Linked DNA regions of Cricetulus griseus. The protein of the gene in region 2 interacts with the protein of the main gene of each other region in a pairwise test. Links are inferred from orthologs where the notes say so. Each region holds a gene or a part of one and is shown on either strand. Other genes may lie near its edges. The genes, in order: Ttc23l and melanoma inhibitory activity protein 2.

Evidence for each region.
Region 1: the proteins of melanoma inhibitory activity protein 2 (region 2) and Ttc23l interact in binary tests that used the Homo sapiens proteins (3 or more experiments, as listed by UniProt). The two-hybrid records come from large-scale screens. The link is inferred for Cricetulus griseus from reciprocal best matches to the Homo sapiens genes MIA2 and TTC23L.

The regions. Positions count from the first base shown.
Region 1 is NC_048595.1:343,791,985-343,799,287, forward strand, and holds part of Ttc23l (tetratricopeptide repeat protein 23-like), read right to left. Parts: intron 4,344-7,303; coding exon 4,166-4,343; intron 566-4,165; coding exon 457-565; intron 1-456.
Region 2 is NC_048598.1:143,368,358-143,375,121, forward strand, and holds the end of melanoma inhibitory activity protein 2, read right to left. Parts: intron 5,773-6,764; coding exon 5,714-5,772; intron 4,412-5,713; coding exon 4,171-4,411; intron 3,004-4,170; coding exon 2,840-3,003; 3' UTR 2,437-2,839; downstream 1-2,436. UniProt on the Homo sapiens protein: Plays a role in the transport of cargos that are too large to fit into COPII-coated vesicles and require specific mechanisms to be incorporated into membrane-bound carriers and exported from the endoplasmic reticulum.

The DNA.
Region 1 (7,303 bases), on a different chromosome or scaffold from region 2:
TAGAAATCCTAGTGCATTATCTTTGAATACAGCTCATGGAAATTCTAACTGCTGCATCATGGTCTCTTGTAAGACAGAGGGAAGGAGGTAAGGCTGAGTGCAGGGAGATAGGAGGAGTTGATACTTCCCTTCTACTGAGTCCTCATGGTAAGCAATGCTTACCATGTGTGTGATCTCTACACCTCAGAAAGGTAAGTGTGGCAGACATTCTAAGGGAGTACAGGAAATAGAAAATAGATAGTTGGTTTTGGTGCTCAATTAGTTTGGGAGGATGTTATCAGGTGTAACCTCCTGTGTAATTATGGAATTGATTTTTTACAAAATCATGACCAGCTTTATCTCTCCGTTACATGAGTAGCTACCTATAATCTCTTACTTATATAAGGATGATTCATCACTTTGCTTCTCATATCACTGGGCAGTGATGATAAATGCAAGGCCACCTCCTGTACCTACCCCTGTGCTGGGATTCTCCGGACATGGCATAAGCTTTAGCTAGTAGAGCACTCGCCTCAGCAGTTTGGGGGCTGATTTCAGAAAATGAAGAAACACAAATAGAATAGGCCTGGGGGAAAAAAAAAAGAAAAACATGACAATATCAGTACTCAGTGACAGTCTAGAAACTCATGACAACATCAGTACCTAGTGACAGTGACAGTCTAGAAACCCACGACAACATCAGTACCCAGTGACCATCTTTTGCTGCATTTTTCAGCAGCTGTCAGAATTGCTAGCTGACTGGGAGCCAACTCAGCTAAACACAGAATTACATGGGAGTGGAGCCTGAGTTCCATCGCAGCCACTTCCTTTTGTGGGTCTTGAACAAATAATTTCACCTTCTTATGCAGGATGGAATGTATGGGTCTTACGGATTAGGGCTCAGAAAAGATTAAAGGAGTCGCCATATGCAAACACTGGGCACTATCCATCATCTGGTCAGTTCTAACTAAATCTTAGCTTCATTACTTCCACTGGGTCTCACAGCAGACTGTAACTACAACATTAGCCCAGAATCTCAAGAATTCACTATCAAAGAATCATAAAACATGGGTCCAAGAGATCCAGTACTGCTTAGCCACTTACCATGATAGAGAATGGTCCCTTATCTTCTTCAAATATAGGATAAAAAGATGATAAAAATAGAATTTGTTACAAATAGTTGCTGTAAATGTTAAATAGGTCAACATGTGTGAAGTGTTTTATAGTATCACCTGGCATTCAGTAACCATTAAAGAAGTGTAAGATAATAATTAGTTGTATTATTAATATTATTTGTATTTTAATGGGAAGTATGTCACTTAAGAAGAAAGAAGAGTGAAAACAGCTGACTTGTAGCTACCAGCAAGGAAAGAAGCACCCATGCATGACAGTTCACCAGCCAACCCTTAACTATCTCAAGAAGCTAAAGGGATTATCATCACCCACCCACTATGAAGCCAAGACAGTGCAAAGTGTGCACACTGTTCCATTAACTATAAGCTACTGGGTTAGATTTCCTGAGTTCAAATCTCTGCTTTGCAACCTATCAGCCAAGCAACTTCAGCTGAATCAGCCATAAATCTCTGTGAAATGAAATACATACTCAAGTGCACACAATAATAAATGTTAACTCTGATTTTTTGGTTTTGTTATAAACATTGATATAAACATTACTACTTTCTTCATTCTAATTTGATCAATTTTTGTTTATTTGGTTGGTTTTGGGGTTTTCAAGGCAGGGATTCTCTGTATAGCCCTGGCTGCCCTGAAACTCACTTTGTAGACCGGACTGTCCTCAAACTCAGAGATCTACCTGCCTCTGCCTCCAGAAAGCTAGGATAAACGGTGTGTGCCACCACTGCCTGGCTTGTCCACAGTTTTAAGAGAGCCTTGAATTCAAAACTCATGCCTTCCTCTGCAGGCAGTGACTCTGGCACAAAAGCAGATCCCCTAATGCTTCTCTCCATTGCCTGGTGTTTATAAACTTGGGTTGTCAAATTGTTTCCCACACCTGTTCTTAGCTCTATGGCTTTTGACATAAGTAGCTGTGCTACTACTTTCCCCATGTATGAAATCCCGTATGTCAGTATAATCTGTTGTGAAAGCAGATTTCTGACAGCACTGCAACATTTTATTCAGAAGAAAGGTGAATTTAACTAACAGTTTAAGTACATTTTAAAGGGAAGTGCCTAAAATGGTTTTTATATCAGAGGCTCAATATTTGTTCCTTTGTTTTAGCTTGCCACAAGTATTTGTCAATTAGTTACCTCTAAGTGAGATACACTTTTATTTGTTTAACCATAGATTTGGAAATAAAACCAGCTGCAGTGAACTGACAGGACATCTGATATAACAAAATGTCATGGCTTTTCAAATAAGAAACCTGCCTTAGGGTTTCTATTGCTGTGAAGAAACACCATAACCATGGCAGCTTTTATTTTATTTTATTTTATTTTCAGTTTCTTTTTTTCCTCCATTTTTTAATTTGATTAGAAACAAGATTGTTTTACATGGCAATCTCAGTTCCCTCTCCCTCACCTCCTCCCCTGCCCCCACAACTAACACCTACCTACCCCATACCCTTTCTGCTCTCCAGGAAAGGTGAGACTTTCCATAGGGGGTCTTCAGAGTCTGTCATATACTTTGGGATAGGGCCTAGGCCCACTCCTGTGTGTCTAGGCTCAGGGAGTATCCCTCTATGTTGAATGGGCTCCCAAAATCCAATGACAGCTTTTATAAAGGAAAACATTTCATTGGTGCTGACTTACAGTTTAGTTCATTGCTGTCATGGCAGGAAGCCTGGTGGCATGCAGGAAGACACGGTGTTGGGGAAGGAACTGAGAATTCTACATCTGATCCATAGGAGACAGGAAATGAACTATCACACTGTGTATGGCTTGAGTATATATAGGATCTCAAAGCCTGACTCTACAGTAACACATTTCCTCCAACAAAGCTACACCTACTCCAACAAGACCACACCTCCTAATAGTGCCACTCTTTATAGGCCAAGAATTAAAAATCATTTTTTATAACTACTGTTACTTGTTTGTATATGCAGACAAATAGTATTATTACTATTATTACTTGCTTGTGTACAGACAACATGTCTAGGCGAGAGAGCTACTATGTGGAATCTACTGTTCCTTCCACTTTCACTTGGGTTCCTGGGATCAAACTTTGGTTACCAGGTGTTTGCCTAGCAAACACCTTTGAACTGTCTCACCAGTCTTCCCTTTTTGTGTTCTTTAAGTCAAGTTCAGCTGCCCTAATGTGTTTTATGTCTTGGGGTCGACTCAAGCTTGGTTTCTTCCCAGCATTGACAGAGATGAGAGGCCTAGGAGGGGATGTGCTACTTCCTGGTCAGGTCACAGAACATATATGTTCACTAGAGTTACGGGCCTCTGGTTATGTTTTTAAGTTTGAGGCTCTTGTTTGGGGTTGGAGTAAGTCAAGGTTAACATGTGTGGTACTTTGAATGCAATTGGCCCCAATAATCTTATAAGGAGTGGCACTATTAGGAGGTGTGGCTTTGTTGGAGTGGGTATGCCTTGTTGGAAGAAGTGTATCACTTTGGGGGTGGGCTTTGAGGAATAGTGCCCTGTGAGTCAGTCAACTTCCTGTTTTCTTCAAGATGTAGGACTCTCAGCTATTCCTCCAGCACCCCACCTGCCTGCATGCTGCCATGCCCCCCCCCCCCGACACCCCCCATGATGATAATAGACTGAACCTCTGAAACTTAAACCAGTACCCTCAATTGTTTTCCTTATAACAGTTGCCATGGTCATGGTGTCTGTTTACACCAATAAAACCCTAGTTAATAACATGAAACCTAGAGGGATACTCTCTCAGCCTAGACACACAGGAGAGGGTCTAGGCCCTGCTCCAAATGACTTTGAAGATTCCCCCATGGAAGGCCTCACCCTCCCTGGGGAGCAGAAAGGGGATGGGATAGGGGGTTAGCGTGGGGCAGGGGAGGAGGCATGAGGGAGAGGGAACTGGGATTGGCATGTAAAAGAAGCTTGTTTCTAATTTAAATTTAAAAAAGGACAAAGAAAAAGTTAACATGGAACCAATTCTGCCCCTTAGGATGTTAGGGTTAAAGTAAGGAACCAATCCTTAACTCCTGGTTATGAGAATCAACTGGGCCTGGAGCCAAACAAGATCACCTTGCCAAAGAACCAACCTGCTGCAAATACTGGATGGCTTGCTCATGGTTCCTCCTCAGCTGCTCAATCTGAGCGATTTCTTCATATAGGCTAATCAGCTCTGATGTGCCATAACCCTTGGCCATGATGACACTACCAATTGCCTTTTCAAAGTATGCCAGAGCTAGGTTCATCCTGTGCATGGCTAAGGAAGCTCTACAAGACAAAGAAAGAAGGTGGAAAGTCACACAGAGGCCACTTCCTTTGCAGACACATAAGGAATTAATTCCAAGAAGAATTTGTCTTCATAGACAAATCATCTGGACAGCTGGCTCAAAATCCAAGATTGCTTTAAACAAACCCCCATTATTCTGAATTTTGCCCACAAGATCCCACAGACTACCACCATTAGCTTAACACGTTAATATGTTTTACTCTTCTGTAATTTTCATAAAAATACAAACGGAAAAATGTCACCCAGAAAGTCATAAGACGGGGGATGATTTACTCAGAAGCACAGATGTGGGTCTTGTAATATCAGTAAAGGTGGGATAAGCACCAGCCCTAAGGACTCAGCAAAAAGCTTGTGATTGACATGCTTACATGAGTAAGTAACTCAGGTGATTGGTCGATATGATTGGAACTCATAGCTGGTAGAACTAGCAGTCCTGTACATGGGAGGCTGCCACTATGGAATTAGAAGCTGTACATAAGCATGCCATGCACCTCTTCTGGCTCACAAGCAGACACATTTTCATGCTATTTCAGGTCAGTATGGGGGCTTCTCAGTAGGACAATATCCTGTGCATTGTCCTACAGAGCATTCTCCAGAACTGTCATTTGTTGACCTCCTATCAGCAAAAAAAAAAAAAAAAAGTGTCTGAAGAGTTCCAGAGAGCACAGCTAGGGTTTGGAACTGGAGAGCTAAGACTGTAGGAGGCAAGAGGCTCTGAAAGCTGGTATTGCAAGACTCTCAAGTGAAGATCTAAAGAGCTATCAATGATTAAAAGGTGAGGGTCCTGACTCCGGAGATGACATACCATTTACTGTAGGGTGACAGGACTCAACGCCCAGAGAAAAATGCCTCTGCCTGAGCACCAGGAGCTACAAATTTCTGGCTTCTAAAATCATAAAGCTCTAGGTGTTAGGTGTTGTGAGCCCCCAAAACTCTTGGCTAAATATGATGGCCCACAACTTTATGTCCAGCACTCATGAGACAGAAGCAGGATGATTCCTATAAATTTAAGGACAGCCTGGGCAACAGCATTGAGTTTGACTCAATAAAAAAGAACTCAGGGCTGCCTATTTGTGACTCGCACCTGAAGAGAGCAAAAGGCCTGTCAGCTGGCTATTCTAACAGACTTATCTTGTCCTCAAGATGAGTGTGAATGATCAAGGGCACTGACAGGTTATCTAATCGTTCTTTGAAGCGATAATCTCTTCTATCAACCACACAAATGTTCTCTTGACCAAATGTATTTCTCTTATTCTTCAGACATTAAGGATGGCTCCCATCAAGAGCTTTAAGGGAGATTTTAGCAAGTTGTTTAACCTGAACAATCTTGTCTTAGTGTCTCTGCCCTTCAATGGAAAAAAGGCATTACTAGATATTTGTCTTTACTAGATATTTGATATATATCAACTATAACAGCATGGTACAGAAGATAAGCTATGAATTCAGATGTTTCAATGATAAGCCAAGTTCTTCAACTAATTCTGTCACCTTCAGTTAATCTTCCTGGGCCATTTTTTTTTAAGATAGTTTGTCTGTGTAACTAGTCCTAGCTATCCTAGAACTTGCTTTGTAGACCAGGCTGGCCTCCAACTCACAGAGATCCACCTGCCTCTGCCTCTCAAGTGCTGGGATTAAAGGTATGCACCACAACTGCCCAGTGCCTTATTTTCTTATCTGTCAAATAAAAATATTAAGAATGCCTACCCTCATAGGTTACAGCAAGGCCTGAAAGAAATAAAACTTCAAAGCACTCAAACACTGTGTGGTATGTATTATACAGAGTAAGCATTCTAACACTTAGTACACACACAAAACAGATACTGGTGTGAATGAGTAAAATAAACACTAGAATTGAGAAAAGACAACGTGGTTTTTGTTTCACATAAGGCAGATAACCTTTAAGTAGTGCCCTCTGTGACAGCAGGAGACATTCACCAGACTCTAACTATGGCCCTATGGATTTGAGTCAATAGTCTGACTTTGCTCTGAACATTCCAACATGTCCCCACCATGTCCCATTTGACTTCTAGATTCATGGCTGTTTAGAGCAGGCAGATGTGACGCATGTGTTTCATTTACTTAGCATTCAGTCATCTGCCCTACTGTGCCAAGTGCTTATAGCTTTTGGAAAGAGATTTCTTTCAAGGATGTGAAGATATTTGAAAAATCTGGGGAACAGTAAACTTTCATTATTTCTTTTTCCTGATAATCTGATTGGCCCACTCCCCTTTCTAAATTCTCCATTCTCGGGGGATTCTTAACTCATCTCAAAACAGTTTTAAGTCTTGTTCTGGCTTAAACAAATCCCATGGACTCTGTTTCTACACAGAACAGAGCTTTCCTTAACAGTGCATGTCTGTCCATAGCTCCGATAGTCTCCGATTTGCCTTCTTGAGTGTTCTCTCCTTCTCTGTTACTTCTCTGTCATGCTTGATGACAAAAGTAACAGGCAAGTCAGAAAAAGAAATCAATTCCAAAGTCAATGAAAGGCAGTTACAATAATGAAGGGCAAAGAGATGAGTTTAGATCACATATCCAATACGTACAAGCTATGTCACTTTAGAGCATTGGTTCCCAGCCTTCCTAATGCTGCCACTTTTCAACGCAGTTCCTCATGTCCTGGTGGCCCCAAGCCATAAGGTTATTTTGTTGTTACTTCATAACTTTAATTTTGCTACTGTTATGAATCATAATGTAAATATCTGTCATGCAGGATGTCTGATTTGAGACTCCAAGGGGTCTGGACTCATAGGTGAGAACCACTGCCTGAGAACAAGTGCTTAACCTCAGCTCAATCTCCTGGCTCTCTGAGGAAACCATAACATAACTGAGCACCTCAGTGGTGGCTGTGAGGATTAAGTGTGGCAGTGCATAGTGAACTCACAGGACCCATGTTTGAAAAACATGGCCTCTTGTATTATCAGCTGAGCTCTGGGCTTTT
Region 2 (6,764 bases):
CTGAGAGACCAACTCATTAACAAAACCTTCAACTTACAAGTAGTCATGGCTGCAAAAATATGGTGGGGTAAAAGTGGCTTATAACTTGTGGGAGTGACCAACTGTGATGGTTTTAAAGAAAATGGTTCCCAAAGGGAGTGGCACTACTAGGAGATATTGCCTTGTTGGAGGAAGTGTCACTGTGGGGGAGGGGAGAGAGGGAGAACTAGGGTTTATATGTAAAATGAAAAAAAAATTAATGTTTATGGGTCTATGTAAATATATGATATGACCTAAATACATGAATCTATATTCAAAAAGATATTGGAAAGCCAGAAGGGACCATCACCTGGAGCGATGTAAACATTACCTCCTAACAGATGCTTTCCATTGTTTCAACCAATGTCTACCTTTCTGCAAGGATTATACATTGCTTTTCTTTATTTTTAAAAATTAGGCAGAGAAGATTACACATATAACCTATAATTACACACTCTTACTGGTCAACAGTAATGCCCAATTTAATTTCTTGAGCTTTAACCTGTCCCATTATCACTTCAAGTAGCCTAAGTATAAAGGTAACTAAATGTGTTACTGTTTCAGGCTCTTGTCTTGATGCTAAGAACAAACTATGACTGAGCCAGAAACTGGGTCACTAGGATTCACAGACAAGGAAACCTAAATTTTGTATGTGATTATTACGGGCCTGAATTAGCACTTAAATTATACATTTGATTTCTTCAATTGCAAATCTTAGGTCAGATATGGAACAATTATGCATGTTTGTATGCACAATAAAATTCATAGCATACTGGAAGTATAAATTGCTAACAGAAAGTAAGATCCTGACCAGGGAGACAAAGAAGAAAAGTGGGTTTAAACAGAGATTTAATGATGTCAAGAATACAAATGTTTCAATATAAAACTTGACTATAGATCGTAACTTCTTTCTTCATAGGAACAATACATAAACTGACAAATTTGCTGAACCAAGTAATAAAATGGAAGGAGTAGAATTTCATGTTGTAAAAATCTAGAATAAGAACAGGGAAAACAGTGAATTCAATGAAAAGCTTTTCTTTCTGTGTAGAGCAGAAATACCTCCTGACCATTGTTCCCAATGATGCTCAGGAAACATTCCAGTTACAATCACACCACTGTGCTTCAGTCCCTTAACACTGAAGAAAAAACCCAACTTAACAGGCTAAACACACTTATAGGAAATTCATTGGTTGGGTCTCACTCTCCATTCCTATCAGTGTGCAAGACCAAGAACAGGAACACTAGTCTGAAGACACTTGAACTCCCTTCCTTAAAAAGAGGGGCCTTGTGATGGTTACACTGTGGCAACTCTCAACACAGCCCACAGAACACAATCAACATCTTACAAGTTAACTATAAAATGTCAGGCTTGGTAGTGCTCTTAATCCCAGCACTCCATGGGCAGAAACAGGAATACTTCCAAATTCAAGGCCAACTTGGTCAACACAGCAAGTTCCAGGACAACCAGGGCTACACACAGAAACCGAGTGTCTAAGAAAGAAACAAACAAAATCAAAAAATAAAGTGAGAGAAAGAGAAATTATGTAAGAAAACCACTCAGTAGGACTGGCAGGATACAGAGGAAAGTGCTCACTGTGTGATCCTGAGAACTTGAGCTGTCTCCAGAACCCAATGTAGAAAGATAATCTTCCAGCTGTCCTCTGATCACCATACATCCTGCACGAGAGTGGGCTTGTGTGTGCCTGCTGTTGTGTGTGCGCTCTCTCTCTCTCTCTCTCTCTCTCTCTCTCTCTCTCTCTCTCTTCCTCTCTCTCCCTCTCTCTCTCACACACACACATTGTTTTTGAACTGTTAAAAGAAAACTAGCCAGTGAAATAAGTTTAAACAATTCTGAAATTCATCATTAGACAACATCCCCACTTTCTTTAAAATTTAATCCATATTTAAATTTTTAAATTTTATTACTTTGAGTCATTCATATCTAACTCTTAAGAAGTAGGATACATATTTTGCAAGATAATTAAATCAGAAAACCCACAATGCATTACCTTTTTCTATAATGTACATATGCAGATGTTTTGTCTACATGCATGCCTGTGCACTACACACGCCTGTGCATTAATCCATTCCTGCTGCACCACATGCATACCTTGCACACTACATGCATCCCTGGTGTTCTGAATGCATGTCTGTGCACTACATGTATGTATATCTTTGCACTACATGCATGCGTGTGTACTACATGCATTCCTAGTACACTTGGAAGCTGAAGAGGCCATTGGATTCTCCAAAGCTGGAACTGCCATGTGGATGCTGGGAACCAAGCCCAGTCCTCTGTTCTGCATGAGCACCCTGACTTAACCACTGAGCCACCATCTCTCCAACCCCAGACACTTCCCTTTTGAACCACTGAATTATTGGTACAGGTAAAAAGACTAAATTATGGAGCCATGCTTATGTGAAACTGGCTGGTTTTATTATTATCAATGCCAAACAAGACTTTAATTGAATTAAAATTTATTTGATTAAACAGTTACCTTTACATTTGTCTACACCATGGTGAACATATTCCTGGTAGAAACACACAGCCTTTTAGGTTTAAGATATCCCCAACTCTAAGATTACATGTATAAAACTACCATAATTATGGATGAGGTAATCAAAGTAAAATATACTATCCAGAATGAAATAAAATGGAAATAATTTACTCATAAAATTCATATTTAAATCTTTATTTACAAAATACTATCCTGAGAATTATAATTCCATTAAGCTTCAATTTGAGCAACAATGTAATCACATAAGTAACAGCAGTTACTTAAAAAGAAAAGGAGAAGAAATGACTCCGAGGAAACTGTCAGGTCTCCTGTGTTTCTGGAGGTTCAGGTGCAGGTTGTTTGGAAGGAGGAATCAAGTCTGGGGGCAGCTCATTTCTACTTTCAGGATGTGGGGGTGGGGGGAAGAACCCAGCTCTTGGGGGAAGGTAAGGTGGAAAGCCCCTCGGTTCGTACACATTTCTCCCTGTTCGAAGAGATGGATAAAGGACAGTGAAACCCCATACTGCACACTTGTTAAACCACTAGCTCCAGCCGCTATTCTGATGTCCAAACACTCACAACACAATATTTAATCTCACAAATAAATCTTGACATTGAAAACTGTACTTCTTAACTACATAGGATTAGTAAGAACATCACCATCAGATTCAGCTGTGTTTGTCCTATCTTGGCAGATACCCTAGATCCCAATACACTCAAGACTTACTGTAAAACAGCTTTTTAACGAAGTAAAATTTTCAACTTCACATTCAGATCAGTGATCCTGACCTGATATCCTACTGAAAACATTTCCTGTAATGTCAAGGATGACCTTAAAACGTCCCAAACAAAACTCATTTCATTCCTCTAGAAGATTAAGAGTAGAGGTGAGGGCAGAGAGCAGACACCTAGGACAAGCTGGTTCTTTCTAGTACTTGAATCATGATTTACTGTGTAGAAACTTGTGATTCTAAAGGGTAAAGTATGCTATAAAGGCAATAAATTACTTTTATTCTAAAATGTAAGGGTATGAAGGAATTTCAATAAATTCAACAAATAACTAAATTTGATCTTAGATTTTAAATATGATCATGTGGGAACTACTATTTATGAAAAATACCTTAAAACACTTTAGTCAGTAATCTTAAGACAAAAATATACGCAATTACTTTAAATAATGGCCGAAATACATTTCTATCAAATGAAATACACATAATTTTAATCTTAAAACTTCTTGTAGCTGTGCATTGGTGGCACACACTTTCAATCCCAGCACTTGGAAAGTAGACAGGTGGATCCCTGTGAGTTCAAGGTTAGCCTGGTCTACAGAGTAATAGTTCCAGGACAGGCTCCAAAGCTATAGACAAACCCTGCCTTGAGGAAAAAAAAACAAAACAAAACAAAAACAAAAAACAAGAAAGAGACCCGTTTGTAATCTTACTGATTTTCCGACCTATCACAATACAGTTAAAATTCAAAACTACCTAAGGTAGATCAAGGTGAAGCCTTGGCCTCCTTTGTTGCTGGACTGTAACCTGTGAGCCATATAAACTCTTTCCTCCTCAAGTTGGTTCTGACCAGTGTTTATCACAGTAACAAGAAAAGCACAGATAAATGTTGACACATACATGGACTTTTTAAAAAAGCCTACCTGGGAATGGCGGGAAGGGCGGGCCAGCAAAGTCCCTTGGTGGAAAATAGTCTGGAGGACCTGCATAGATGTTTCCTGGAGGAGGTGGTGGGAATGGGGGAGGCCCTCTCATAATGGGTCTTCTTGGATCCCCTGCAAAGGGAGGGCCTCTGGGGCCTCTAAACAGGGGAACTGGTGGAGGGATGAAGCCAGGGCCAGCTGTCTCACATTCAGCAGGAGGAGAGTTGGGCACAGTTGAGTTCTGTAAGAGAGTGACAACCAGCAGTCAGTAAAGCTGCTTGATGCCCAGCTCCTTTCCTGGGATTGTGAGGCATAGAAGAAACAGTCCATGACATTACACAAGGCCTGGGAACAGGCTCAGTTTCCACACCTGTGTAGGAGCCCCTTACATGCTCTCTGAAGTATTTTTACTAACTCAGCAATAAACTTTAAGCTTGGTACTACTAATAGTCTACCTGGCTCTCCCTAAAACACTAGTACAGATTCATACAACAAGGACATCTGTTCAATGATGTTCATAGCAGCACTATTTGTAATAGCTAGAAACTGGAAGCAGCCTAGATGCCCCTCAACTGAAGAATGGATAGAGAAAATGTGGTACATTTACACAATGGAGTACTATTCAGCAGGAAAAAATAAACAACGGAATCTTGAAATTTGCAGGAAAATGGATGGAACTAGAAGAAACCATTCTGAGTGAGGTAACCCAATCACAAAAAGACAAACATGGTATATACTCACTCATATGTGGATTTTAGACATAGAGTAAAGGATTACCAGCCTACACTCCACACTGCCAGAGAAGCTAGTAAACAAGGAGGACCCTAAGAAAGACATACAAGGTCCCCTGGAGAAGGGGAAAGGGTCAAGATCACCTGAGTAAACTGAGAGCAAGGGAAGAGGAGGGAGCTAGGAGAATGAGAAGGGAAGAAGAGGAGGGATGCAGAGGACATGAGGGAGCAGAAAAGGTTGAGTCAGGTGAAGATTAGAAGATAACAAGAATGGAGATACCATAATAGAGGAAGACATAATAGAGGTTTACAGAGATAGCAGGCACTAGGGAAATGTCTAGAGATCTATAAGATGACACCAGCTAACAATCTAAGCAACAGGGGAGAGGCTACCTTAAATGCCCTCCCCTGATAATGAGACTGATATGCCACCCGATAGCCCTCATCCAGTAGCTGGTGGAAGTAGAAGCACCACAACTTATCACTGAACTGAACTGGAACCCAGATGCAGAGAAGGAAGAGTGAAGAGCAAAGGGGTCCAGACCAGGCTGGTGAAACAAATGACCTGAACATCGGGGAACTCTTGCTCCCCAGACTAATAGCAGGGATACCAGCATGGGACTGATCCAGACCCCAGGAATATGGGTTTCATTGAGGAAACCTTGGAAATCTACAGGACCTCCTGTAGTAGATCAGTTCTTATCCCTAGCATAGGTGTGAACTTTGGGAGCCCATTCCACATAGAGGAATACTCCCTGAGCCAAGACACACAGGGGTGGGTACATGGGTAGAATTTACTTTCCAATACTTACCCCAGGGTCACCTTTGGTATCATTCTTCCTGGATTCCAATTTTGAGGACCCTGGCCCATCTAGACAAAGAAATTAAACCAGTAAAAATTCATGAATTCTTACTTTATTCCCTGACCGTTTGCAGATCCAAATACACTGACATTTTCCACTCCCCTTGCTTGGACAGGGAACAACTTGACACAAATACACTAACATTCCACATTAGGATCCCCAAAGCAGCCTGAGACCTGTAGAAATTTCAACAGAACAGACATTCTTTTGCAGTGTGCTGGTCACCTTTCCAGCTGGTTCCCAGGCCTTCTTGCTGCAGTAGCCAAAGTGAACGACTCAGGATGTAGCATCCACTTCCTGTCTTTTCTGTGTGCTCTCTTTTCCCTCAGCACATAATACATACTTTCATGAAAGTACCCTTATAGATAACTCAACAAATACATAGTGAAAGTAAAATTTTGGAATTTTATTTATTCTCCATGTTATTTACTTTAATAGGTATAATAGATACACATATTTCCCAGCTTCAGTGGGTAGTGAGTGATACTTGAATGGATTCTGACAAAGTCAATCTACTACTCATGAAATGATTAAATAAGATAACTAAGAACAAGAACCCAAATTATTTTGCTGGTAGTCCATTGACATTTGCCTGCCTAATATCCTTGACTACATATAAATGGATTAAAAACAATGAGAAGTTAGCTATGGGACAGAGTAAAGTTAGTATGGTACCAAAACTAACCTTCACCACATATATTAGATGACACACCTGAAATATGAGACAACAAGAAACGGCTGGAGAGATGGTTCAGTGCTTAGGAGTACTGGCTGCTCCTTCATAGGACCTGTACTTATCTCAACAACCACACAGCAGCTCACAACCATCTGTAACTCCACTTCCAGGGGCTCTGATGCCCTGTTCCGGCCTTCTCAGGCATCAGGCATGCATGGGATACACAGAAATAACACTTTAGAGATTCTAGAGTCATGGGATATCTGCCAAAGAGAGCTGCTGACGGGGAGTGCAACCAGCCCAAGAGAGAGAAGTGCATCGCAG